Ovis aries: one gene and its partners. The protein of the gene in region 2 interacts with the protein of the main gene of each other region in a pairwise test. Links are inferred from orthologs where the notes say so. Each region holds a gene or a part of one and is shown on either strand. Other genes may lie near its edges.

Region 1 (4,126 bases), on a different chromosome or scaffold from region 2:
AATTCAGATGTTAATAAATACGTATTAACAAGTAATGGAGAAGAAAATGGCAACCCATGCCAGTATTCTTGCCTGAAAAATACCACGGACAGGAGAGCTTGGTGGTCCACAGTCCATGAGGTTGCAAACCGTTGGACATGACTTAGCAACTATAAAAACAATAACAACTAACATATATGCCTTTGCACAATAACAAAATAGTAGATAGACTCTTAAGGTACACTGGAAAAAAAACAAGACTTGGGAATAGAATTTTAAAGAGAAACAAATATAACAACTTCCTATTTTCCTTATAAGAACACTAAAGAGACTTCTGAGACACTCGAAGAGTGCTTCAAAAAGCTTGAAGTTCACGACTTAAATTCTCTGAAAAACAAACTCATGAAAATGAATTTCCCACTTAGATAATGGAGTTGTTCTTTTTCACACTGCTCTCCTTTCACTTTACTAGCCAATAAGCCATAATCCCTAAAAATTAATCTCTGCAAGATGTACAGAGAAATATCTAGGCCAGTGGTGACTACCAGGCTATAGGCTTTTGGGGTCTATTGTCCATCTAGTCTTAAGAAGGAAAAACGCTCCCTAGTAAGGGAGTTCATAAAAATATCTTTTAAACCACAAAGTCATCATATTTAATAATTGCTCTGTTGTAGCTGCCAGTTAAAACTGGGAAACCAATCTTAATAGCATCCTCTCAGGGCATTTGAAAGTTAATTTATAACTTCAGTCACCTGTAAGACATAGTGCCAGACTGGATGATTCTGGGATGTTTTGTTTTACTTTTCAATTGTGGATTTGTATTGCTAAAGATAACTGAACAGCTCTGGCAGAAACAATCTACTCTATCTGCCTATTTGTTTAGAGAATGCAAAAATTACTTATCTGCAAAATTTAAAAAAAATTCATGAAATTCTCTTCTTTAAAACAAAATAATTCAATGGATGAACTCTTTTGCTTTCAAATTTATTTAAATAAAACTCCACTGGTTTTATTTTTATGAGAGAAAAATGACATGAATGGAAGAGAACAAAGTGCTTTATTTCCAATCTTAAGAAATCCTCAACACGGAGGAAGGAAAAACACGAACTTTGTACATGCTATTCACATCATTGTTCAATTTTTAACGTTCCTATTCTATTGTGGGTTCCAACTATTTTTTCCCTTTACCACTAATCACTTTCCAACACACTATGTAATTTATACTACGTTTGTCATCTCTTTCCACTATATTGTAATGTTCAAAAAAAGGACTTTGCTTGTTTTGTTCACCGCAGTATCTAAGACCATATATAGCAGGTGTTCAATAAACATTTGTTGAATGAAGAATAAATAATTTCCTCTTGCTCACGATTCACCAACCCTTAGGTTGTGGGCTGAAGACTACAACATGAATAAAACCCTAGAAAATATTTTAATCTTGGAAGTAACAAAGCTCAGGTAGAGGCAATCTTTAAGTTCCTTAGAGACAGTTAGCGATTTATTGAGTTAATTCAGAATGCCTCAAATTCTGCCAGCAAAATTTTGCAAATGTATGAAAAGCACCTAGCCAGGTGCTGTTTTGGGGCAAGCAGTAAGGGTCCTTAGCTTAGTAAAACTTCTAGTACTAAAAAGTTTATTTAAAATTTCCTCCAAAGTAATGTGCCCCCACTGCCTCCTCCCCTGGAGAATTAACCTCGAAATTTATCATCTACTCTGCCAATGAAGAGAAGAGGAAAAAGACGGGCTAACCGTCGCAGTCAAGGACTCGGCGCTCCTTCCCCTCCGAGGCCAGCAAGCTGAAGTGCTGGAGGAAATGGCCGCAGCAACAACTTCCTCAGTTTCTCTCAAGTCATCGTGAACTGGACCACCGATTCGAGGATCCACCCCCTCCCCACCAAAGTGCGGGAGGGAAAAGAAGGCTAGCCAGCGAGAAATTTTGTCCCGCAAACCCGCCAGAAGCAGTGGCGGGAATCCTCAACGGCACAGACCCAGACGCCGGCCTCGTGCGTAGCAGGGCCCCGCGCGCATCGCGTGGCACTCGCTGATTGGCTGCCGGCGGGCACGGGGTGGGGCGCGACGGCACGTTGCCACAGCCCTTCGGGCCTACTCGGTCTCCCACCCCTCCCCCACCCGGCCCAGACTGGCTTGGGCGCGAGTGTCCAGGTCCAACCTGTGCCCAGGTGCCCCATATAACCCACACTCGCCCCCCCACCAGGTCTCTCAGGACTTCTGGTTTCCGCTGACCGGTAGGGAAGTGGAGGGGATGGCCACCTGGTCAACTCCTCATGAGGGTGGCTAGGCTGAGTGTGGCTGGAGTGAGCGTCAAAGACGCAGCCGAACCTACTTTCGGCGGGAAAGCTGGTTCTCTAGCCTGAACCCAGCCTGGTGCACAGGACCCGGTTACCCACACTTCCCGGAACCTCCCAGCAGGTCTACACCAGTCCAGGCCCGGCATCGCACCTGCCTGACCCCACTACACAACCCGACCGGGCCTGCAGGCAGGCCGCTATTCATGGCGGTCGATGGGGCGCCCTGTCCACGGTTCTTGCTGACAAAATAGCGAGCTCTAGACTCGTCCTTCCAGCCCCTCACAGACCGAGTCCACGTTGCTCCTTCTCCCCGCTAGCCCGAGGCCCAGGACTCTGGGCCCTGACCGCCGTACTCACCGCCCCGGACTCGGTCTCCATCTTCCTCTCTGCTCTTCAAAAGCCAGGGGGAAAGGCGCAGAAACCTACAGTTCGAAAGCACCTTCACACCCGGGAAGCAACACCACGCTTCCCGACGGAGACTTTCTCCCCCTGGCGGCGACGGCGGCGGTGGCAGCTGCAAGGGCGCAGACTCGAACCCGGGGCCTGAACCTGCCACCGGCGGGGATAGGGAGGGGCAGACGACGTAGCCTCGGGCGGCGGGTGGCAGTGCGGGCGGGCGCCGCAAGCCCGGGAGGGGCGCGGGCGGGCAGGTTTCGGCGGTGGCCCGTGGTCGCCGAGCTGGGCCGTCTCAAGGGCAGAGCGTGCAGCAGGTCGGGGCGGGCGTGAGGTGTGCGGATCGAGGGCTCTATTCTCAAGCCACTCTCGTCTGCTTTCGGACGGCTGGGGAAGAGACAGCGAACGGCTAGGCAGAGCTCCATGCACCACACGCCTTTTCCTCTCCTCCCCTTTGGAGAAAAGTTGGCTTCTAGGACTGGTGGGTTTTCGAGAGGTGGCGGTGCGTTTAGAGGCTGCTTTACTAAGGTGCAAGAAGCCGGTTGACGGGCGACTTCGTAAGGCTGGTGCGGGGAGAGGAGGCCAGTTTGCAGAGTTAAAGCCTGACCCCCGGGGCCTGACGCGCCAAACTCGGGGGCTCCGGAGAAGCCACAGACGCCTCGGCGCACCTGTTGTCGCCGTCACTCATCCCAGCCGAGCGGGCGGGGCGGCGTGGGCCGCTTGGCAGGGAACCGCCGCGCCGCCCCGTCCGAGCTCCGGCGTCCGCCTTAGGCCCGCGCCCGCTGAACACAGCCCGCCCGCTGAACACAGCCGGCCCGCCGCACAGCGGGTCAGCGATGGATCTACCTGCGAGCTTCCAGGGGTGAGGACTGTGCCACTTGGCTGGATTGGCTCTATTTCCTTTGAAAGAAGTCTGCTTTGTAAAAAGTCCTTCTGAAAAGTAGCTGCCATTTATGCATCAATACATATGTCATCAACTTCACACACTTTACTTATGTATATAAACATATATAACCAATTTTAAACAATCACAACTCGGTAAACTTCTGTAATGATTATGGTGATTATGGCACTATGATTCAGTTCAGTTCAGTTCAGTCGCTCAGTCGTGACCGACTGCGACCCCATGAATCGCAGCACGCCAGGCCTCCCTGCCGATCACCAACTCCCAGAGTTCACTCAGACTCACATCCATCGAGTCCGTGATGCCATCCAGCCATCTCATCCTCTGTCGTCCCCTTCTCCTCCTGCCCCCAATCCCTCTCAGCATCAGAGTCTTTTCCAATGAGTCAACTCTTCGCATGAGGTGGCCAAAGTATTGGAGTTTCAGCTTCAGCATCATTCCTTCCAAAGAAATCCCAGGGCTGATCTCCTTTAGAATGGACTGGTTGGATCTCCTTGCAGTCCAAGGGATTCTCAAGTCTTCTCCAACACCACAGTTCAAA
Region 2 (3,931 bases):
AAAGTTCAAAAGAAGGGGAGTTTAAAAATAGTCCCCAGTTCATGTAATAATTGCAGGGCTTAAAGAAATCACCATCATCATTATAAGGAATTTTTACAAATCCTAGTTATTACTGGAAATGTTTAAATATCCCATTTAATCATCCCAACAACACCATGAAATGCATAGTAATCATCTCCATTTGGCAGATGAGGAAACTGAAGCTCACATCAATTAAACAAATCCCGCAGCTGGCACAGGGCTGAAATGAGATCTGAAACCAGAGCTATCGGACTCCACCATCGCAGCTGCCTTTATTTCAAGAATAGCTCATTGTGTTCTACTTGGTTGATATCTGCACAATTATGATATCGTTTATTCAGCTACGGCAATGGTTTCCCAGCTCTTTTCTTATGGCAGAATCTTTTATTTCAGTGCAGCCTTTACTTTACTTTTTTTTTTTAATGATTTTTTTTTTAATTGGAGGCTAACTACTTTACAATATTGTAGTGGTTTTGGCGTACATTGACATGAATCAGCCATGGATGTACATGTGTTCACCATCCTGAAGCCCCATCCCATCCCTCTGGGTCATCCCAGTGCAGCCCTGAGCACCCTCTCTCATGCATCGGACCTGGACTGGCTACTTTACTTCTGAACTCCAGTGAGCAAAAGCCATAAAAGCTGAACAGTTCTGGCTGAGGTGGGGATTGGGACCCAGAATCAGGCCACTCAACTTGAAGGTGGCCTCTGAAGTACTCTAGCATTTATCAGCATCATGTGAAAACCCCAGATCGAAGGCAACAAAAAACAACCCACACCTCCAAGCCCTGAGAACTGCATTTAGGGACAGCCTCACTGGGATAATGTAGCTGATTGTTTCCTGTCCCCATCACATTTGATCCTCATTATCAACTCAATGTGGACAGGGCAGGGCATATCACCCTCCATTTGCGGATGAGAAAATCAAGGCCAAACGGACCGGCCAAAGGTTTGCCAGGTTCACTTTCCAGCCAAGTGCAGACTGGAAGTAGAGTCTGTTTCCACTAACTCCGTGAGTCCTGGCAGAGAGGGTGCCAGCTACTGGAAACTGCCACTGACCCTTGGTTCACAAAGGGGACAATCAGCTCTTTGGCCATTGAGAGCTGAGCACAGCCCCACAGGCCCCCTGCCCAGTCCTTGTCCCAGAGCAGATGGCAGTGGGTCTCAGTGCCACCGGAGGGCCAGATAGCAGGAATCTGGCTGTAGACAGGCCATTCCCATCCCAGCCATGTCCTGCTGAGCAGGGGCAGAGAGGCAGCAATAGCCAAAGTGCCTTCTTCCCTTATGTGTAGTAACTGAATGAGCCCCAAAAGGACCAGACTTCAGGGAGTGTGAACTGGGAAGCAGTTACACTTTGCCTTTCCTAGCTCTTGCGTAGAAATCCCTGAAACCAGAAACAGTTGATAATGGCCTGAAGGGTTCCCCCACTTCAGAGCATCTCTGAGCTGAGCTGGAGCATGTGTTGGAACAGGCAACACTTAGTTATCACCTAGTCTTTAATGACCACTTAATTATTAACACTTAATCCATCTGTAAAATGGGGACACGAATACCTGCCTTATTGGGACTCTGGGAGGATTAATTAATGTTTGCAGCCCACTTTGAAGATGCAAAGCAGTGAACACGTGCTCAAAGGTGACATTAATAACTCGGTGGATTTATTCGCTTTTCCTAACAAGGTCCTTTCTTCCTCTCTGCTCCTCCCTCTCCTTTCTAATATATCCATCCCCAACAATATCTGCCCAAATTTGCCCTGGTGGAGAAACATTTAGCTCTGTGTTTCCCAGATACAGGATTTCCCATCCAGGAAACGGGCTATTTACAGCCATCTTCCCGCACTTTAATTTTCTATTATGTCCTCTGAATATGTCAATGCCTTCCCAGTAAATATTTTGATGTGCGCTCTTGCAGCGGCTTCTGTGGAGGCTGAATGGGACAGCTGCTCCCTGTATTAGGGAATTCCAGATGTGGTTTAAAACCACCAAATTCATCTGTGCCAATGCCTAGCTTTACAGGGCGGGAGGGGAGAAGCATATTCTAGTTGCCTCTGGGGAAAGCCACAGACATCTAACCTTCTCCCTGGCTAGGGTGGTTTTTCAAGGTCTTCGGATCTACCTTGGTATTGTCTATGCCTCTGCACAAGAAATGTCCTCGAAGTGGGCTGGTACAGCAGCAGAAATATAGTTCTGTTCTGGCCCCTCACCCAGGTAACTTCAGGACCCCAATCATTTTGTTCCTGTAAAGACTGTCAAAGGGTCGTGGTGGGTGGGGGAAAACACACAGCCTTTAGGGTTTAGCCAGGCAGAACAACAGGTCAAAACACTTCCCCCAGACCCCGAAAGTCAGCCCTCATCTCCTCCCTCCTCCCTTGCGTGAAGTAAGGGCACACTCACTCTTCTTGGAAGCTGAGCCCGTCTCTCGGAGTGCCAGCCACGGGGGCAGAGAGCTGCTCCTTGGAGGTCCTGGGCTGCAGGGCCTCTGGCAGGCCCTGAACTCTCTTCCAGATTTCATGGCAAGTCTTGTCTAAGCTGTCCTGGGGTGTGTCCTGGTGGATCCAGATGTATCTGGGGAATGGGCCTAGGGCGGAGGGGCGCTTGGCCACCAGGGCCGAGGACGAAGCCAGCCCATTGCCACTGGCCATCCTCTTCCTCTCTTTCCAGAAGCCCCTTTGTCCACCCAGGGCTCGAAGACAGGGTGACCATCCACCACCACCCCTCATTCACCAGGAAGGGCAGTGAGGATGGGGAGGAAGGAGGTCAGTTCTGGCTGACCGCTGGTCCAGAAAGGTGACTGCGTTCAGAGGCCCTTGGTTTGTGTTTGAAAGATGAATGGACAGCTTTCTTGCGGGGAGGGGGAGCTTATTTTGATCTGTTTTTAGTTGCTCTTTCCTGACTTTTGCCCCCCTCCCCCTCTCCCGTAGAAGAAAATATTTAAAAGTCAACAAAAACCAGTAGCTTAGTAACCGTGGAATCCCCCTGAGCTCAGGAACCAGGCGCCTGGGTGGGCAGAATGACATCTGGGAACAGCTGGAGGGGGAGGGCTGGCTCTCCCCACAGTCCCTGGCCCTCACCCGTTGCCACGCCGCCCTAGGCTCAGTCCATCAGTGCCCGCTAAGCCTGGGGGTGCGGGGGTGAGGGCCTGGCATCGTGCGAGGCACCGGGGGCTGGGAGCCCGCCATCGGGTTCTCCCGAGAGGGTCTTCCCAGGCCCCCCGCCCGGCTGAGCCCCGCTTTGCTCGCCCCACCGGCCCCTCTGGTCTCCCTCTCCCTGCCGCTCAGCTGCCCGCCCGCAGGAACAGTCCCCGAGTGCCCAGCGCCCGCCCGCTGTCCCCAGCAGACACCAGCTACGACCCCCCTCCCCGCCTCGCCAGGCTTTGGGATTGTCGGGGAAGGGTCCCTAAGCCTTAAACGGGCGCTTTCTCCGCGGGGCGGCTGGGCCAAATTGCCTGCTTGTGGCTCCCTGCCTGTGGACGCTTCCCGTCCAGCGCTGGAATTCCTTGGTGGGTTTCAAACGCAACGGCTAGGTGCGCGGGACGCCCAGGGTTCGGTCGGTGCTCCAGGCCCTCCGGGGTGGGGGGGTGGGGGTGGGGGCGGGGTCCGGAGGACCCCAGGACGCTTGCCCTCGTTAGAAGTCCAGGACATCGCGCCCCCGCCTGGCCCGCCGCTCCTCCGCACCCACCTGGGCGCTGCCCCTGAGTCGCTGATTTCACCCCTCATTGCCATTTGATCGGGGGCTTACCATGTGCCTGGCGCTGGGCTTTTTCTGTGTCCTATTCACTCCGAACAACCTCATGAAGTTAGTACCATTACGTCCTCTCCTTTTACATTTGAGGAAACCGAGTTTCTAAGGAGTGTATCCAAGGCCCACCCAGAAGTGGGGAACTGGGGTTCAAACCCAGGCACCCCAGGCTA
Region 3 (4,117 bases), on a different chromosome or scaffold from region 2:
CTCCAATGCATGAAAGTGAAAAGTGAAACTGAAGTCGCTCAGTTGTGTCTGACCCTCAGCGACCCCATGGACTGCAGCCTTCCAGGCTCCTCCGGCCAGGGGTTTTCCAGGCAAAAGTACAGGAGTGGGGTGCCATTGCCTTCTCCAATATGCTGTCTAGGTTGGTCATAACTGCTTCCAAGAAGTAAGCGTCTTTTAATCTCAGGGCTGCAGTCACCATCTACAGTGATTTTGGAGCCAAAAAGAAAAAAACGAACGTCTGCCACTGTTTCCCCATCTATTTGCCATGAATTGATGGGACCAGATGCCATGATCTTAGTTTTCTGAACGTTGAGCTTTAGGACAAATTTTTCACTCTCCTCTCTCACTTTCCCCAGGCTTAGGTGTTCGAAGTTTCTCTATCGCTCATTTTTCAGTATGGGAATTACGTGTGCTGTGGAATAAACCCACATAAGTCTTCGTTTAAGAAGCTAATAGTAAAACGTCCACCCTCCAATCCACTAACAGCAAGTGAAAATAAAATCTAATAATACTGCATACGTTTTAATTTTTACACTAAAACATATGTACGTGTTATATATGTATATTTTGCACAACACGTAATTATGACATCTTCATTGTTAGCTAGCACATTCCCTGACCGCTGCGGTCAGACCCCTTTGGGGTCTGTCACAGAGTAGATAGGTAAAGGTTTATTCAAAACTAAACTACGGGGAGAAAAAAATATTGATCAGAAAAAACCTGCAAAGATATCCATTCCTTTTGTTAATATCAATTTGTCAAGCCATTTGCAAACGTCTTCACTTTTCTGCAGTGTTGCTTTACATAGAATATATAAAAGTCACTCAGTCGTGTCCGACCTTTTGCGACCCCATGGACTGTAGCCCACCAGGCTCCTCCCTCCAGGGGATTCTCCAAGCAAGAGTACTGGAGTGGGTTGCCATTTCCTTTAGCTCTCCACAATTTTGGCCAACGGATCTGTGCCCCGGGTTAGAAGGCATTCACATCTAGCCAGCTTCGAGGCCTAACTCTCAAATGCCGCAAGTGTAGGGAATCCAGAACTTGCTTTCAAGCCTCTCCAGGAGACAATTTCCTCCAGGCTGCCAGAGCGCAACTCGCCACTGGCGTTTCCTTTAGACACTCAGAACTCCGGGAAACTAGGGATCTTTCCTCCCGCCCACCGAGAGAAAAACAGCCGAGCAGCCGTGGACTGGCTGGCCGCAGTTCCACCGGGGCCCTGAGGAGGGCGCGCGCGGCCGGGCCCCGCCGACCAGTGGGGAGGCGGAGCCGGGTGGGGGCAGCGCGTCCGAGCACGGCGCTTCCTGTTCCGGCGCCAGGAGGAGCCGCGCGCTGCTGGTGCTGCTGCCGCCCCCGTCTCCGCTGCCGTCGGTCGGGCTACGCTCGGTTCTTCAGCGCCCAGTTCTCGCGGACCCATCGCCACTTCTAGATCTTGCTGCGAGTTCGAATCTTGCCGGGTGAGGCTGCCTCGGCGCTAGGGGGGTCATGGAGGAGAGCGAGGGAGCCCGCCCAAGCGGGACGCGGGGACAGTAACGGAGGTGCCTCAGACGCCTCTTCGCGGGGGCCGGGGGCTAAGAGTCTCTCCCCGTGGTTTTCCTCTCCGCTGTGGGCAATCAGCCCGCTAGGCCCCCAAGGAGAGGGCGTCGGGGGCGGGTGACGTCGTAGCGATGGATTTCTCGGCGGGTGACGTCAGGCCTGGCTCGGGGGGCGGGGCGGGGAGCGGGCCTGGCCCCTCCCCCACCCTTTCCCGGGCGGGCGCGACCCGCTCGGAGGCCGGTTCGCTCCGGTTAATCCCGGACTCCTTTTGTTCGCTGGGCTCTGAAGGGCTACCCGCCTAGCGCCCCTTGGCCCCGACTCCCTCCCCTACTCATTAATTGCTAAGGAAAGGGAGAGGAAGGCTGAAAGATTCTTGTAGGAGTCTTTGGCGCTAGTTTAAGATTATTCGCAATATGAGGTTTTGCTCATCTTTTTTTTTTTTTGTCATCATTTTCTAGAGGAGTTCCTAGCAGATACTCAGATGAATATCCATGACAAACTGAGAAGTGTTGAGTTCTGTAGTGCTCCCTTATTTTAGGATTTAGGAGCGCCTGGTGGCTTTGGACCGTTTTCTTCTGAAAACCAAGAGTAGCGCTTTTAATAAATGGGGATAGTAATGTTGAAGCATGGAAGCATACTCATCTGACAGAAGACGAAAAACATTTTTATAGGGTTGCTACTAAAGAAATACACGCTCGTACGCTTCATGGCTGTGAGTTTGTTTTGAAAACGAACCCTCCATTAAAGACGAAGTTACCCTTCAGAAATCTTTCAGAAGCTCTTTGTTCGGGAATAGTGGTCTTCGGGCAGGAGGAATAGACATTTTTCTCAATACGAGTGTCTCTGAACTTTCTATTCAAAGCTAGTTTGTTTCAGAAACTTGAGTTATGTGTACTGGAATGTCCCTTTTTCTCTCTCCACGAGGAATGGAGACCCAGAGACAGCCCCTTAACTGAAATCCTTGGGACCAGTGTGTTTTGGAATTCAGAAATCCTAAAATTTTATCTTTAGGTTTTAGAAAGACGATAAGGTACAAAGACGAGAGATCACACCAGCGGAGTCGGGGCAGCGTCCCCAATCCAGCATTAATATTTGTGCAGCGATGAAAAGTGAAGTCGCTCAGTCGTGTCCGACTCTTTGCGACCCCATGGACTGTAGCCTGCCAGGCTCCTCTGTCCATGGGATTTTCAGGCTGGAGTGAGTTGCCATTTCCTTCTCCAGGGGATTTTCCCGACCCAGGGATCGAACCCAGGTCTCCCACATTGTAAACAGACGCTTTACCGTCTGAGCCACCAGGGAAGTCCACCAAGTAAGTTTTATGTCAAACGGGAACACTTCTTTCATTTCTAGAAGTTTCTAAATTGAGAACTGCAGGTAAAAATTTACAAACCTATCATAGCAATTTGTAGAAACTGACACCTGTTGAGTTTTTGCTACGTGCCAGACGGTGACCAGGAGATTTATTGTGTAAGTCTCACGGCAAATCTGTGAGGTGGATACTACTGTCAGCTTTCACCTCTGGGGTTGGCACAGCTTGGCTTGTCCAGAGCCCACCAGTGAACTGCAGCATTACCTAGTTTTAAATACTTGTGGTGTGCACGCCTTTATTTTTCTAATGCTTTTTTAGTTGAAGGATAATTGCTTTACAGTATTGTGTTGGATTTTGCCATACATCAGCCTGTACTAGCCATAGGTATATACATATGTCCCCTCCTTCTTGAACTTCCCTCCGACCCCCCTCCCCAGGCTTGTAGCCATATGCAGTAGCCCGTACACCGAGGAAGAGAAGATGATATGTTTATTTATGTTCTCTAGGCACTTTTACTATAGGCACTTGATTTACCAGTCCCATTTAGTCCTGACCCATTTAGCCCTGACCTTAAGGACCCATTATTATAGTTGAAGTAACAGGTTCATTGAGGTGAGCTATCTCTGAGATGGTCAAACTTTGGTCTAGAGACTCTCTGGTTGAAGCTTTCATATTCCTCCCCTTTCTACATTGCAGCCAATCTGATCTGCTTATATGTCCCTGCCCCAGCTTTTGCACAAACTGCTCCTTTCCCTAGGGCCTACCCCAGGTCTTTTTGTTCTCCCACACTGCAAAGACAGGACTCCTCAGGATTCCTCCCTTGATAATCCTTTCCTTGATACCTTTAGGAGCTCTTCAGGGTGCTCCCATAGTGCCCTGCACTTACCGCAGGTAGCCTACTGTTTAAATGGTAGTTCTCCACCAGACTGAACTGCCATTAAGTGTTTATTCCACCTAAGACTATTCATTTCCCCAAGGCCCAATGCAGTACCAAGCACTTAGGTTCCAATAAATATGAGTGTAGAAAATAGGACTAACAGGACCTTGTTGAAAAGTTATTTTTTTAATTACATATTTTTAAGTAATTTAAAATGTTCAAAAACATGCAGATCCCAATTTCTTAAGTTGTCCAAATGTAAAACAGAGTGTTAGCTAATAAATGACAATACTAGAAACTATCACATAAAAATGCTCATTCAAAATTTATATTTTCAGTACAATATATTTCCAGTATTCTTTCCCCATACTAAACAA
Region 4 (3,500 bases), on a different chromosome or scaffold from region 2:
CATTGTGGTTCTCAGTTGCTTTTATGTATCTGTAGTGTAAAAATAGTTCATTTAAATACTATACTAATTTATATTTCATGCAAATTATATTTTTTTTTTCCATGGGTATATGCATTTATTCCTCTCCTAACTCCAGAATTATAGAGATGGCTTCCAAGGACATGAAAACAGTTAGATGAATAATATACATAGCTAAATTCATGGCATTGGGTATATAGGAGACTAAAAAAATGAAACTATAGCCAAGATCGGATGAACCTGAGAGTATGCTGTAATGTCTTACACAATTATAAAACTAAAGTGACAAATTCAATTCCAAACCTCCTAGGGTTCAAAGTAAAAAGGGAAGGGGGGCCAGTAACATGATTCATTTATCCCAGATGATGAAAGCTCAGGAAAAAAAGGCTTTTCTTGGCTTGCAGGTGCAAGAGAATAAGCTATAACTACTTACTGAAAGCAACAGATTTTCTGGTGAAATTAATAGGGCTGGAATTGAAAATGACTCCCCTAACCTGGCATTATACAGCTTTTTGTGTGAGTTAAAGAGTAGTTTCAAAGTACAATTATGAAAGTATTAAGAAAAAGTCAACTCTACATCTCTCAGAAGAGATAGAAGGACTATTCCTTTGGACTTTAGTCACTGTTTTATGTAGTTAAACCATGTTAAGATCTTGAATTCCCTCATATGTGTTTATATATATATATATACCTGGCATTTCCTTCCCAGGTCACAGATTATAAATGCATAGGTGTTTGTACAAAGAATCTTCTTATCTTAAGAATATATCCTTATCTTCCTTTTGGAAGGAGGGAAAGATCTTCATGTTCAAATCTGATATGAAATTTCTGCTTCAACACAAAACTCCAGAAACTATATTATTTTCAAATTTAAACCAGAAAAAAAGGCTTCATAATAATTAGATATGCTGCCAAAACAGCTTTCAAGCAACTGAAGAGCAAAGAAAATTAAAAATAAGAATAGCAGCCATATCAAACAGATGTTTTTAAAGAACTGAGAAAGTGTCACAATTACTCTAAAACTAAATTGGTCTGAAGTTTTACCCAGAAGTTTGGATGAAGTGTAATAACTGACATTTCTTGAGCATTTACAATTTCCCAGGCACAGTTCAAAATGCTTGTATGTATTAACTCACTTTTGTAAATGTAACAAAGTTAATACTGTTATCATTGTTCCCATTATATAGATAGGGAAACTGAGGCATGAAGGAGCTGAATATCCTTGCTTCAGGTCATACAACTAGGAAGTGTTCAAGCTAGGATTCACACATAGTCATGCACTCTGGTTCTAGCTCAGTTTGGTTCAGTCGCTCAGTCATGTCCGACTCTTTGCGACCCCATGAACCACAGCACGCCAGGCCTTCCTGTCCATCACCAACTCCCGGAGTCTACTCAAACTCATCTCCAGTGAGTTGGTGATGCCATCCAACCATCTCATCCTCTGTCGTCCCCTTCTCCTGCCCTCCATCTTTCCCAGCATCAGGGTCTTTTCCAGTGAGTCAGCTCTTTACATCAGGTGGCCAAAGCACTGGAGGTTCAGCTTCAGCATCAGTCCAGTGGCCACTCACTAACGCATGAAACTGTACTGCTGCTTGATGTTTCAGCAGACGAACCAAGGTAGTACTGGTTGGCCAACAGGTGAAAACATACATTCTGTTGTGTCCCTATCATTTTTTTTTTCTTTAGATGAGCAAATGTACCTTAATTAACCTTGAAATTTCCCTTAATATCCTGTGTAGAATTCCCAGCAGTACATTTTTAAAAATGAAAAAAAAAAATTTAGTTGAATGATGAAACCATATTCCTATTATAAATCATATTTTTACAGTTTTAAGAATGTGGAGGAATGCTTATAAAATGAAGTAAAGCAGCAGATGTAAATTTGTTGGAAGCCTAACTCCACCACTCCCATTCCCCCCAAAGAAACTATCAAAAGCAAGATGGGAAAGTTTATGTGGCTATCACTGGGTAGGAGAGTTAGGAATAACTTCTTTTTCCTACTTTTTCTTAATTTCCATAAAATTTACTTGAATACTTTAATAGTCCAAAAACATGAAATAAACTTCATTTTTTAAAAAAAAGCTAATCAGAGCTATTCTTTACAAAGGCACAGTAAGAAGCGCCTAGTGATAATCTCACTGTATAATTTTAAATCATTTCTAAGGGTCTTGTTCTGAAGGAATGAAGGTGGCGTGCTTTAGACTTGCACTTATGTAGCTATTTAATTTTAGAAAAAAATGAAAAACTCTGCAATTGTCCCATTTCAAGTATTCAGTAGCCACAAGTGGCTACCGACGGTTTTTTCATCATCACAGAGAGTTCTATTGCCCAGCACTGGTTTAGAAGAAAGAACACAAGATGGCTTGAAATCAAGTCCTGATAGGAGCAGATACCTACTGTGTGAAATGAGTAATTTATTCAACCTCTCTGAGTCTATTTCCCCATAGACAAATTGGGACTAATGATACTGTCACTTACCATGAAAGGAGATTAAGATCAAATAAGATAATGCATGTGACAATTCTCTGAAAACTATCCTGTAGTTTACCAGATAGTTGTTTCAAAAATCCCCAGCCTGAACCTAATCTAGCTCTTTGTGCACTGATTCCAAATCCATGAATGGTTCATAATTGCTGACAGGGAGTGACACCATAAAAATCAGACTTACCAGCTCTTCGCACAGTTCTTCACCCAAGTCCTTCCTTATTGTGGATATTCCATTTCTTCCCTGTAAAAAGCTTCAGCACACAGTTCTGTATCTTCTATAATAACACCTCCTCAGTTTTTTTCCTTAACAATGTAAATACACTGCCCTCTTTCCATTCCTAAATGAAAAAGCCTCTTTAAAAAGAAAGCAAAGAAAGCAGGCTTTGTCTGCCAAAGAAATAAAGGGGGTAAAACGCTATACTAAAAGGAAATCAATCTGAGTTGACAGTGCAGGAATTAAGCAAAAGATGTTGCCAACTGCCTCAAGACGTGAGGTTTGCACCCACAATGACAGCAGGTTCTCTATGCTTCAAAGCTGTTGGGGGTGCTGATTAGGCGGAAGTACCTGCTCCTTCTGATTTTTTTTTTTCCTGAGTCACTTCTGGTTTTTCCTGCAAAACAACTTGCCTAATTTAGACGATTTTAGAGCCGCCGCGCATCCAGAGAAGTCCCCATCTTATTTCTCATTTAACCACCCGAGAGTTAAGCGTGAGTCTTGGATGGCTTTAAGAAAAAAAAAGAGGAAAAGAAGAAAAAAAAATTGTGGTCAAGTTGTGGCTCAACTTGTTGTAGATTCTAGGCTCATCCTCTCCCTCCTGCCTTCCCCAGGTCTCCACCGGCCGTGGATGCCTGTGACATTATGACCGCAGAGGATTCCACCGCAGCCATGAGCAGCGACTCTGCCACAGGGTCCTCTGCCAAGGTGCCCGAGGGCGTGGCGGGCGCGCCCAACGAGGCGGCGCTGCTGGCGCTGATGGAGCGCACGGGCTACAGCA
Region 5 (2,809 bases), on a different chromosome or scaffold from region 2:
AAAGAAAGCAAAAAGATCAGGACTGGAGAGATGAGTCCTGGAAAGGCCTCACTAAGAGGACATTTGAGAAGACTCGGAGGAAGTATGGAAGGGAACCATGTGAGTATCTGGGAACATGCCAGGGGCCTGGGGTAGGAGCATGCTACAGTATGGCTGGTGTGGAGTGAGAGGTAATAGGAGCCAGATTATGGTGGGCTGTAAAGTTTTGGTTAGGACATTAGCTTCTTCTAACTAACCCTAACCCCTCAGAGCTGGCCCTTGCCCTCAAGACACTTAGAATCAGGCAGAAGAGAGAGATATTAACTTAAGGATCACCCTGATGAATATGATAAATGTAACAGTATCGCTCTTGACAAGTTATCAGGGTAGCCCAGTGGAAAGAACCTGCCTGCCAATGCAGATGTGAATTTGATCCCTGGATCAGGAAGATCCCCTGGAGAAGGACATGGCAACACACTTCAGTATTCTTGCCCGGGCAATCCCATGGACAGAGGAGCCTGGCGGGCTACAATCCATGGGGTCACAAGAGAGTCCAATACAACTTAGCAACTAAGCAACTACTGTTTTCCAGTCATTTAATTCTCTGTCCTTCTATTCCTTTTTCTGTAAAATGGGTATAATAATGGCACCTACCTGATAGGGTCCCTGGGTGAAGTGCCTGGCACCTGGTAAGTGCCATTATTACCATCATCATCACCATTATCATCATCACCATCATCATCACTGTCCCCCAGGGAGCGAGACGCCCGTGTGAAGAGGAAACTGCGGGGCCCAGAGCCGGCAGCCACAGCAGGCTATGGGAGTGGAGGTGAGTGTCATTCCAGAGGTGATGGGACCAGGCCTGAGATGCCGATCCTCCTTAACCCGCTCTGGCCCTTCTGTCTCCCCAGATGCTCCAGGTGGTCCCTGTGATTCCACACTGGGTGGGGATGTTCGGGAGTCAGATCCAGAGCAGGCCCCAGTGCCTGGGGAAGCTGCCCCTGCCCCAGCTCCTCCCTGCAGTGGCCCCAGTGCTGAGGCCTACCTGCTGCACCCTGCCGCTTTCCACGGGGCCCCCAGTCACCTTCCAATCAGGTGAGTGGGTCAGCGGCACAGGGCTGGGCTGTTCCAGGCTGAGACGAGGGGGTGGTCCCCTCTCCCCTGTCCTGATACCTCTCCGCTCTTCGGGAATCCCAGCTTCCCGGAGGCTCCAGACTCTGGGCGCCCAGCCCCCTACTCAGCCGCCTTCCTGGAGCTGCAGCCCGGGCCAGCAGGCTCAGGATACCCAGCAGCAGCACCCTCAGCATCCTTTGCCTCGCACTTCCTCCAAGGGGGCCCCTTCCCACTGCCCTACCCTGGGCCTGGAGCTTACCTGGATGTGGGCTCCAAACCAATGTACTGAGCCTTTGCTAAGCCCCCTGCCTCCCTCCCCATCTTCCAGTTCCCTTCCCCCAGGCCTGTTGCCCCCTCACTTCCACTACCCCCTCCCCCACACCAAATGGCTGCCTTGGGCCTCCCCCACCCCACTTCACACTTTGATTTCACTCCCACCCCCTCTGGCTTCAAAGCTCTGGCTAAGCCGCTGGGAGTCCAGCTGGGGCCAGCTTCCCCTTCCAGGCTCTCACCTCGGTGTGAATGGAGGGGCTCTGCCTGGCCAAATGGGGCCTGGGACCAGCACTCCCACCCCCAGCCTCACCCTTGGGCTCTACAAGTCCTACCCCCTCCCCAGGGCGAGCCACACGGGTCTGTTCTCAGGTCCAGAGTATTTTTGTTAATAAAACTCGAAAGACGTCAGTGCTCTGGAAACACTATGGTCTTTGGCCCTGAGTGGGGCTGGTTGAGCAGAGGTTTTGTGAGGAGACGCAGGCCCCAATCAAGACTTGTCATTTCCAGCTGCTTGACCTTGTGAATCTAACTAAGTCAATGCTCAGGGTCTGCTTCCTCTTCAGGAAGATGGAGGAATCTGTCTTGACATGACATTCTGAGAATTAAACAGGGCTGCCCGAGAACCCAGCCCTCTCCCTGGCACTCAGGAAACCCCCAGCAGTGATCACTGTCACTGGATGGGGACCAGGAGGCTCTGGGCAAGCTAACCGGCCTGAGCCTCACCTTGCTGGCAGGATTAGGGTTCTGGGGCATCAAAGTCCTGATATAAATCCCAGGTCCAAGGCCGGTACCACTGCTCATACCCAGTCAACACCAACCGAAAGACCATTTTTCTTCTTTTATTAGAATTTTTTTCTTTTTTTTTTGTTTTCTCAAAATTTTTATCTAAAAACAAACCAAAAAAAAAAAAAGAAGGAAAAAAAGAAAACCAAAATTATTGGAAACTTCATGGTTCAAGTGGGGAGACGGGAGGAGGAGCATGGAACTGAGGCTCCCAGCCTCTCCAGAAAAGTCCTCACCCTCGAAGTGCCCTCTGTTGCAGGGAGAGCAAAGCCGGGGACAGCCCCCCCCATGCCCAGCCTCCGTCTGAAGAGGGCAGAGTCACAGTGGTCCGGGGGCCGGAGGGGGGCAGGGCCGAAGGGGTCACAGGAAGTAGTCGGCCACAGGCTTTTTGGAGGGGATGCCCCGTGTCTCTTGGGGAGCGGCCTCGAAGATGATGAAATCTTTCTGGAGATGCTCATCCAGCTCCAAGATGGCTGCCACATTCCCACAGCTGGAAGTCGGGGGGAAGGCGGGGGCAGCAGTGTTAACAGCGTGGCTCAGCCTGGATCCCTACCTCAACCTCCCCAGCCCAGGCAGCTCACCGGTAGCAGTAGTTGGGTGCCGACCACACAGTGAGTACAGTCTCGTTGAAGTGCCACTTGTAACCTTCCATCACCAGTTG
Region 6 (4,287 bases), on a different chromosome or scaffold from region 2:
GAGTGGGCAACATATCCATTTCTCAGCCCTGGTCATCTCTCAGCTGGGCCCTCGCAATTGCTCCCACCTTGGGCTCCCAGGCTCTGGGCTTCCCTCTCCCATGACAGCCAGTTCCCATCATAGCCACCAGAGGGCGCCTATTAACTCCTAAACTAGACCGTGGCTCCTCAATACAGAAGCTTCCCAGGGTTCCACCCATTGATTTCTGTCGTTTTGAGCAGCTTGAGGGACCGTAGTTCCCCGACCAGGGATTGAACCTGGACCCCCTGCAGCAGATGCGCGGAGTCTTAACCACTGGACCGCCAGGGAAATTCCCCATTCTTTTTAAAAAGTAAAAGTGCTCACCACAGCCCACACACCTGTTCACCCCTCACCTCCTCCCCCTTCTCTCCCTCTCTATACCTCGCTCTTCCTGGACTTACTAGACATGGTTACAGCTCAGGGCCTTGGAATCTGTAGCGCCTCCACCTGGTATGTTTTTCCTGAGAGACACACGGCTCCTTCCCTCACCTTCAGGTCTCAAATCAAATGTCACCTTCTTAGGGTGGCCATGCCCGACCTCTCTATTTCAAAGCCTTCTTTTCCCAAGACACCATTATTTATCTCATTTTGTCAGCTCCACAGTGTATAGCACTCTGAAAATATTTATTGTCGTCTCCAGCTCTAAAAGGTAAGTATCCAACAGTCAGGAGGCACCTGGCTTGCTTTCTACTGGGGTGCATAGTACACAGTAGCAGGTCGGTAAATGTGTGAAGGCCCCGCTATTGAAGGCCTCTGTTAAGAGCCTGCGACGCGACTCTCGCCTCCCAGTCTCACCCACGTGGCAGCTGGTGAATGAACTTTCTTCCACACCCTTGCATTTGCTGTGCCAGGGCTGGCGCAATCTGAGCCAAACGTGATTCCTTTTTCACTCACCCCATTTCCATGCTTTATTTTCCTCACGGTGCTTAACACTAAAATTACTCAGTAGCTCGAATGCAGGACCCCCAGCGCCAGGAACGGCTCCAGCACACAGTGAGTGAATGAAATAAAGCACTTTGCACAGTAAGAACTAACGAATATTATCGCACCGCATAACTCCAAACTGGGCGGTCCCAGCCCTGCCTCCTTTTCCCTCGGAAGTGCCGAGGTCCCGGAGCAGCCCGCGCTACCCTGCGCCTGACCTTTCTCCCCTGGGTCAGTTAAACGGGCCCTCTTTCCCGCCCGCCCGTCGCTTTTGAAAAACCGAAAACCCCGCCATTGTTCGCGGTTCACCGGTCGCCGCAGTTCGTCCAATCAGAAGCGGGCCCGCCCACGCCGGCGCCCAAAGCCTCCCTGGCAACGCGTGGCCATTGGCTGCGCTGGCAAGGAGGGCGGAGCACTACAGGGTCGGGAGCCGGGCATCGCAGCTGGGCTACAACGTAGCAAGTTCATAAGAAAACAAATCCGCGGAGTTTGGGGGCGGGGCCGCGAGAGCTCTGGCTCCGCCCCCTAGCGGCCTGCTCCGCAGCGGCGGAGACGCTGGCTCAGAACAGACCCCGCCCGAAGAGGAGGAGGGAGGGTGAGTTGGGGGGAGACCCGGCCCCCAAGGGGCGGGCGCCGGGCAGGGCCCAGCGGGCTAGCGGAGGGTTGGGCCTGGGCTCTCAGCCCCTCTCTACCCACCGGCTGACAGGGGGAGGAGCCGGCCGGGAGGGCGGGGGTCGCGCCCGAGACCCGGACAGGAGAGTCCGACCTCTTTGCAGGCCGGCGACGCTGCGGGAGGGCTGTTCGGGCTAGCGCCGGTGGGCTCCCCCTCACTGACCGCCGCGGGGTGGGGCGGGGGGCTTCGCAGGCCGCCAGTATCGACATGCTGCTGGAAGAGGTCCACGCCGGCGACCGGCTGAGCGGGGCGGCGGCCCGAGGAGACGTGCAGGAGGTGCGCCGCCTTCTGCACCGCGAGCTGGTGCACCCAGACGTTCTGAACCGCTTTGGCAAGACGGCGCTGCAGGTGAGCCCGGGCAGGCCCGCAGACCCCTTCCCTCTTCTCTCCTTGTTCCCGTTGGTAGCCGACTGAGGTCTGTTCCTGCGTCTCTGGGCTGACTTGGCTCCCTAATGTCCCCTTTCTTAGGTGGGTGGTGGATGGGGTTAGGTTGGGGGGAGGGGAGAGCTTTCCATCTTTGGAGGATTCCTTGTTCTCTGATTGCGAAGGATTCAGTTTCCCTGGAGAAGTTCTTATTCCCTGGGTGAGGGTTCACCTTCTTTGGATCCGAGTTTCATGAGGGCAGCTCCAATGTCTTGGAGCATCTATGGACGATCCGACCGCAGGAAGGAAGGATTCCTGTTTCCAAGGTGTACCCATTTTCAGGGGGTTCTCTGCGAGGTATCCAGTTTCCTGTGGGGGAGAATCTCTATTCCCGCGGGGTTTTCTTACTGGCATATTTGGGGAGGGGGATACCAATAAGGGAGTAGTCACAGATTACATGGGAGTCCGTGTTCCCTTGGGGACATTTACAAAAGGGGAACCCCATTTCATCAGAAAGGATCCCTACTATATGGGAGGGGGAAATTCCTTGGAGGAGTTTTAAATTCCCTGGCCATCTCCATTTCCTGGAGGGGACTGTTCTCTGAGGTCTGTTTCCTGGTGGGGTTCATAGTTCCTGATGATTTCCCATCTGTGGGGAGAAGTGTCTCTGGTTCCTTGGGGGAGGGTCTTAGTTTCCTTCAAAATTTCCACGGGGGTATACCCTAGCGGGGGGCGGGGGGTGACCAGTTTTTTGAAGTTCCTTATTCCCGGGAGATCTTGTTCTCTGGGGTCTCAACAGCTGCCTGAAAGTTTTTGTTCCCCGGAGTTTTTCCTTCTCTTGAGAACCTTGTATCTGGCATTGTCAACCCCTCTCTCCAGTCACCCGTTTCCCCAGACCTCCTCCTTTGGAGACTCCCTGACCCTTCTCTACCCCCATCCCCCCACCAGGTCATGATGTTCGGCAGTCCCACCATTGCCCTGGAACTCCTGAAGCAAGGCGCCAGCCCCAACGTCCAGGACGCCTCGGGCACCACTCCGGCCCACGATGCAGCCCGCACTGGATTCCTTGACACCCTAAAAGTGCTGGTGGAGCACGGTGCCGATGTCAACGCACCCGATGGCACCGGGGCGCTCCCCATCCACCTGGCAGTGAGAGAGGGCCACACCCCTGTGGTCAGCTTCCTGGCTGCCGAGTCTGATCTCCATCACAGGGACGCCAGGGGGCTCACACCCCTAGAGCTGGCACGGGGGAGAGGGGCCCAAGAGCTCATGGACATACTGCAGCGGCACACAGTGGCACCCCTGTGACCTGGGGCCACCCACTCCAGCAGCAGGACCCAGCTGAGTTCTGTGTCAGAAGAGGGAAGAAACACTTTCTCCTTTTGCTCCTCCTGCCCGCGGCCGAGGGGCACCGGTTTGTGGCTTGTTGGTGTTGATTTCTGGGGTGTGTGTGTTTGACGTGCATTTCTCGTTTTTTTTTCTCACCCCTTTCGGTGTGTTGGGCAGAGAAGGGCTCCTAGAGGCAACAGCCACCTGAACGGTTCAGTTTCCTCCACGCCTACAGACTGAGTCCCAAGGGCAGAGCGTTTAAAACCCCAGCCCTCGAGAGTGAGGGAGTGAGGTCATCTCTTCCAAGGCTCTTGGAACCTGTCGACCTTGGCCGGCTTACGGAGAGAGACCTCAAGTGTGCACACTGCTTTCCGGCATGGGGGAGGGGGGAGTGTTCCAAATCGATAAAAGGGTAGTATGAGTTCATTAATATTTTGTTGAAAGCTTCATTTCCAGTCCCTTTGTACAGCGTTTAAAAAAAAGTCTATTTATTAAGCTTTATAGAAAATATTGTTGTGTGTGTAATTTAATGTTTTTACCCATTAAATTAAGACTTGTGCATGACCACAGCTCTAGTGGCTTGTCATTTTTGATACGCGATGGAGAGTCGCGTATCCTGGATGTTTGTGGGGATGGGCCCTGGGGGTCGAGGATCGTGGATGCTTTGGAGGAGGGGAGAGAGTGGTAATTCCCAGGGCGCCAGGGGTGAGTGAGTTGGGTGGGGCAGCGGTTTACGCTGTCGGAACGGAAGGGAGGCAGGAAACCGCGAGTGGAGAAAGGGCCCCCAGATGTCAGCTGGGTGCCGGGAGCCCCGAGGGTGGGGGAGTGGGATGGGCGGTGGCTGCAGCCTTCCCCGCAGAGGCGTGGCTCGTGGGCGGGGACTGCGGTCCCAGGGCCAGGGATCCCGGAAGGGCCCGGGGCAAGGTTCTGGGCGGCCCAGGAGGCTCCGCCCCTATTTAAAGTAAACTGTGCGTAGC
Region 7 (3,500 bases), on a different chromosome or scaffold from region 2:
AGTGTTAAATGTGACAACAAAGCACGATCCATACAAGGAAAGACCAACAAATTAGACTGTGTTAAACACGGTGAAAGGCACTGTCAAGAGGATACAGAGATACGTTACAGATCACACATCTGACAAAGGATTATTCCTATCTCACATATATAAGAACCCTCAAAACTCAACAATAAAAAAATAATTAAAACAATTAGAAAATGAGCAAAAGACAAGAAAACACGGCTTACTTGAACAGCATACACAGATGGCAAATAAGCACAAAAAGATGTTCAGCATCACAGACTACTACGGAAATGCAATTAAGACCACAATGAAATATCACTACATACCTATTGAACAATTAAAATAAAAAACAGTGACAATACCAAAAGCTGGTGGGATACAAAGAAAATGAATCCTTCACACACTACTGATGGAAAAGTGAAATGGTAGAAAAATTCTGGAAAGTAGTTTGCCAGTTTTTTTAAAAAATAATCATATACTTTAATATATTCAACTTAGCAACAGCATTTTTGGGCATAAAACTTTATGTCTGCACAACAACCTGTACATGAGGGTTCACAGTAGGTTTACTGGTAACAGCCAAAATCTAGCACAATGAAAATGTCCCCCAACAGGTAAATGTCTCTCAATACAAAACGTGGTACACTCATATCATGGCACACCACTCAGCAATAAAAAGGAAAAGACCACTGACACATGTATTTGAGTGCTGCAATTTAACAATGCAACAAGGGCACTGTGCTGAGTAAAAAAAACATCAAACTCAAAAGATCACAGGCTATATGATTCTGTTTACACACACTGCAGAAATGACACGATTATATAGACGGCCAACAAATCAGTGATTGACAGCAGTTTAGGAAGGGGAAGGAGGGTATGACTAGAAGAGGGTGTAGTAGGAAGATGTTATAAACAGTTTCACATCTTGACAGGTAGGAGATATATATATCTACATGCATGATAAAATGACAGAACCAGATATAAACACTACACCAATTTCAAACATCTGGTTTTGATTTTATTTACCATGTAACAGCTAGGGAACAGGGTAAAGAGTACATGAGATTTTTCCATATTATCTTTGCAACTTCTTGTAAGTCTATAATTATTTCCAAATTAAAAATGAAAAAAGAAAAAAAAAAAAAAGCAGAAGTGCCTCCCGCGAGAGAGGCTTCCATATGCAGCACTGAACCCCTGGCCCTCTAATTAGGGCACACCCAGACCCACTCCAGTGTTCTTGCCTGGAGAATCCCAGGGACGGGGGAGCCTGGTGGGCTGCCATCTATGGGGTCACACAGAGTCGGACACGACTGAAGTGACTTAGCAGCAGCAGCAGAGGGGTTTGGCATGTGACTTTAAGGTTCTGGTTTTGTATCTTCAAATTAAAAAAGCATATTTTTCTGATTATAAAGAGTAAGTAAAAAAATTAAGTATAAACTTAAATCATCAGAATCATATTATTAATACCATGATTCATTTTTGGGTCTATCTTGAAAATATGAACATGAAGATTATATAAAGCAGTTGCTTTATAAAAGCAAAAGACAATAGATAATCTGTTTAAGATAGAAAAAAGTTTAAAGAAGGAAAGGGTTTCAAGTACATTTCTAATTTCTCTAATACTGTTTGGCTCAAAGTTTTCTTTTAGTTTTAAAAGGATGGTGGCACAGAGACCCCAAGTTTCCCTCAGTTGGATTCTGTAAAGTGAAGATCGGCTCCCTACCTCAGGGGTCGGTGCAGCATATGCTGTGTAAGGAGGTGGAGAGGAAGCCACAGCTGTCTCATCATACATGACTTCTGAGCCAACGTAAGCCTTAAGAGAGAAATTGTGAAAAAAAAAAAAAAAATTAAAGGCCAAAAAGTTTAATCTTTGAAGGGGAAATATAACAACTCTCTGAGAAGCAATGACTAGCAAGATGACCTTCTCCTTGCCCCCAACCCTGCATTTAGTGTCCTTTGAATTAAAGAGGAGTTGGTCCTCCTCAGTCACCAGTAGGGGGTAAAAGAGTTCTCACTGCCCAAGAAAGCCAGAGCCTCCAGTGTTACCCAGGCCCTTTAAAAGATGTGATACCACTCTCAACAAGACTTTTGTTCACAAATAAAAATCCTACAGTCTAAAATGTAGCAGGCAGGGATACATCCTGTACTCACAATCCGGTTTCTACATTAAAAACTTTTTCAATCTTGCATTAAATTACCCCTCAGTGGGAAACAAAAACATATGCGCTCCTTAAAAAAAAAATCCACAAAGAGAATCACCTTGGCTCTTGTCCCTAACTATATGAATCATCAATACTAAATAACTTCATTTGAGTAGAGGATTTTCATCAAAGAAAAGGCAATGGGAGTTTCAGAGTAAGCTTAGGGGGAAGAATAGTCCTGAGCTAACAAAAGTAGTAAAAAATAGCATTTGAATATTAAGTCTTTTTACTTTCTTCTCCCACCTGTACAAATCATTTAAAAAGCTCCATCTATCTCTTTTCCTCCTAGAGAAATAAAGGAAAAAATAAAATCCTATCTGAAGAATGAAAGAAAATGTTGACCACGGAGGGAACTGCCTTTTACTCCCTGACAGACACAAAGATGGTACCACTATCCTCTACAAATGGGGTTTACTGTCTCAGTTACCTCCTAAAGTCGAAAGAAACTAGAGACAAGTACAAGACTCAAAAATGTTTATTTCACAGGCTGAGATGCTATACATGGAAAGGGCCCTGTAATCCCTTTTGTGCTTTCTCTGCAAACCACAGCAGAATTCAAAGTGCTGTAAATCTTTGTGAGATACAGACATTTCTAAAAAATAAAACTGGGATTAATGTACCTGTGTTAGATTGGCTCCTGCCAAAATGTTTTCCAAAATCCAGCTGTCAGTGAAACTCAGCCTGTCTATCTCTGCTTGCTCATCTAGGGCCAAGTGGCAAAAACACTGCCATTTTCCTTCTCACCCTCCTATTCTCCCATTTTTTACAGCAAGACTATGAGAAAACATTGTAAGTGACTGCCATTAGCAACTTACTGTGTTTGTCCTGGAATCCTGGAGTGTAAATTTCCAGGCCCTAAAGAAAAGAAAAAGAAAAAAAGGTACTTTATCTGAGGCAATCCAACATCCATCTCAAACCTGGAGTGGCATCAGAATTTTTGAAAAACCTTGTTTTAATAACAGACATTTAGCCCTTTTCATATTGTTCGTGGGGTTCTCAGCCACCTCACCTGCCTGCTGAGAAATCGGTATGCAGGCCAAGAAGCAACAGTGAGAACTGGACATGGAACAACAGACTGGTTCCAAATTGGGAAAGAATACATCAAGGCTGTATACTGTAACCCTGCTTATTTAACTTATATGCAGAGTACATCATGTGAAAGGCTGGGCTAGATGAAGCACAAGCTGGAATCAAGACTGCCAGGAGAAATATCAATAACTTCAGATACGCAGATGACACCACCCTTACGGCAGAAAGTGAAGAAGAACTAAAGAGCCTCTTGATGAAGTGAGA

The links.
Region 1: the proteins of C1H1orf94 (region 2) and BOLL interact in binary tests that used the Homo sapiens proteins (3 or more experiments, as listed by UniProt). The two-hybrid records come from large-scale screens. The link is inferred for Ovis aries from reciprocal best matches to the Homo sapiens genes C1orf94 and BOLL.
Region 3: the proteins of C1H1orf94 (region 2) and MAPK1IP1L interact in binary tests that used the Homo sapiens proteins (3 or more experiments, as listed by UniProt). The two-hybrid records come from large-scale screens. The link is inferred for Ovis aries from reciprocal best matches to the Homo sapiens genes C1orf94 and MAPK1IP1L.
Region 4: the proteins of C1H1orf94 (region 2) and RBM47 interact in binary tests that used the Homo sapiens proteins (3 or more experiments, as listed by UniProt). The two-hybrid records come from large-scale screens. The link is inferred for Ovis aries from reciprocal best matches to the Homo sapiens genes C1orf94 and RBM47.
Region 5: the proteins of C1H1orf94 (region 2) and TBX6 interact in binary tests that used the Homo sapiens proteins (3 or more experiments, as listed by UniProt). The link is inferred for Ovis aries from reciprocal best matches to the Homo sapiens genes C1orf94 and TBX6.
Region 6: the proteins of C1H1orf94 (region 2) and CDKN2D interact in binary tests that used the Homo sapiens proteins (3 or more experiments, as listed by UniProt). The two-hybrid records come from large-scale screens. The link is inferred for Ovis aries from reciprocal best matches to the Homo sapiens genes C1orf94 and CDKN2D.
Region 7: the proteins of C1H1orf94 (region 2) and PLEKHB2 interact in binary tests that used the Homo sapiens proteins (3 or more experiments, as listed by UniProt). The two-hybrid records come from large-scale screens. The link is inferred for Ovis aries from reciprocal best matches to the Homo sapiens genes C1orf94 and PLEKHB2.

What each region holds. Positions count from the first base shown.
Region 1 is NC_056055.1:200,041,803-200,045,928, forward strand, and holds the start of BOLL (protein boule-like), read right to left. Parts: upstream 2,801-4,126; 5' UTR 2,667-2,800; coding exon 2,646-2,666; intron 1-2,645. UniProt on the Homo sapiens protein: Probable RNA-binding protein, which may be required during spermatogenesis. May act by binding to the 3'-UTR of mRNAs and regulating their translation.
Region 2 is NC_056054.1:9,116,542-9,120,472, reverse strand, and holds the start of C1H1orf94 (uncharacterized protein C1orf94 homolog), read right to left. Parts: upstream 2,801-3,931; 5' UTR 2,741-2,800; coding exon 2,415-2,740; intron 1-2,414.
Region 3 is NC_056060.1:65,599,011-65,603,127, forward strand, and holds the start of MAPK1IP1L (MAPK-interacting and spindle-stabilizing protein-like), read left to right. Parts: upstream 1-1,317; 5' UTR 1,318-1,475; intron 1,476-2,775; 5' UTR 2,776-2,863; intron 2,864-4,117.
Region 4 is NC_056059.1:60,124,311-60,127,810, reverse strand, and holds part of RBM47 (RNA-binding protein 47), read left to right. Parts: intron 1-2,686; exon of another isoform or gene 2,687-3,014; intron 3,015-3,333; 5' UTR 3,334-3,364; coding exon 3,365-3,500. UniProt on the Homo sapiens protein: Single-stranded RNA-binding protein that functions in a variety of RNA processes, including alternative splicing, RNA stabilization, and RNA editing. Functions as an enzyme-substrate adapter for the cytidine deaminase APOBEC1.
Region 5 is NC_056077.1:26,714,251-26,717,059, forward strand, and holds the end of TBX6 (T-box transcription factor TBX6), read left to right. Parts: intron 1-734; coding exon 735-808; intron 809-890; coding exon 891-1,074; intron 1,075-1,176; coding exon 1,177-1,381; 3' UTR 1,382-2,309; downstream 2,310-2,809. Other genes in the region: PPP4C (serine/threonine-protein phosphatase 4 catalytic subunit), read right to left, coding at 2,509-2,638, 2,730-2,809. UniProt on the Homo sapiens protein: T-box transcription factor that plays an essential role in the determination of the fate of axial stem cells: neural vs mesodermal. Acts in part by down-regulating, a specific enhancer (N1) of SOX2, to inhibit neural development.
Region 6 is NC_056058.1:12,923,073-12,927,359, reverse strand, and holds CDKN2D (cyclin-dependent kinase 4 inhibitor D), read left to right. Parts: upstream 1-1,487; 5' UTR 1,488-1,540; intron 1,541-1,810; 5' UTR 1,811-1,825; coding exon 1,826-1,966; intron 1,967-2,929; coding exon 2,930-3,289; 3' UTR 3,290-3,879; downstream 3,880-4,287. UniProt on the Homo sapiens protein: Interacts strongly with CDK4 and CDK6 and inhibits them.
Region 7 is NC_056055.1:114,936,510-114,940,009, reverse strand, and holds part of PLEKHB2 (pleckstrin homology domain-containing family B member 2), read right to left. Parts: intron 3,063-3,500; coding exon 3,023-3,062; intron 1,820-3,022; coding exon 1,730-1,819; intron 1-1,729. UniProt on the Homo sapiens protein: Involved in retrograde transport of recycling endosomes.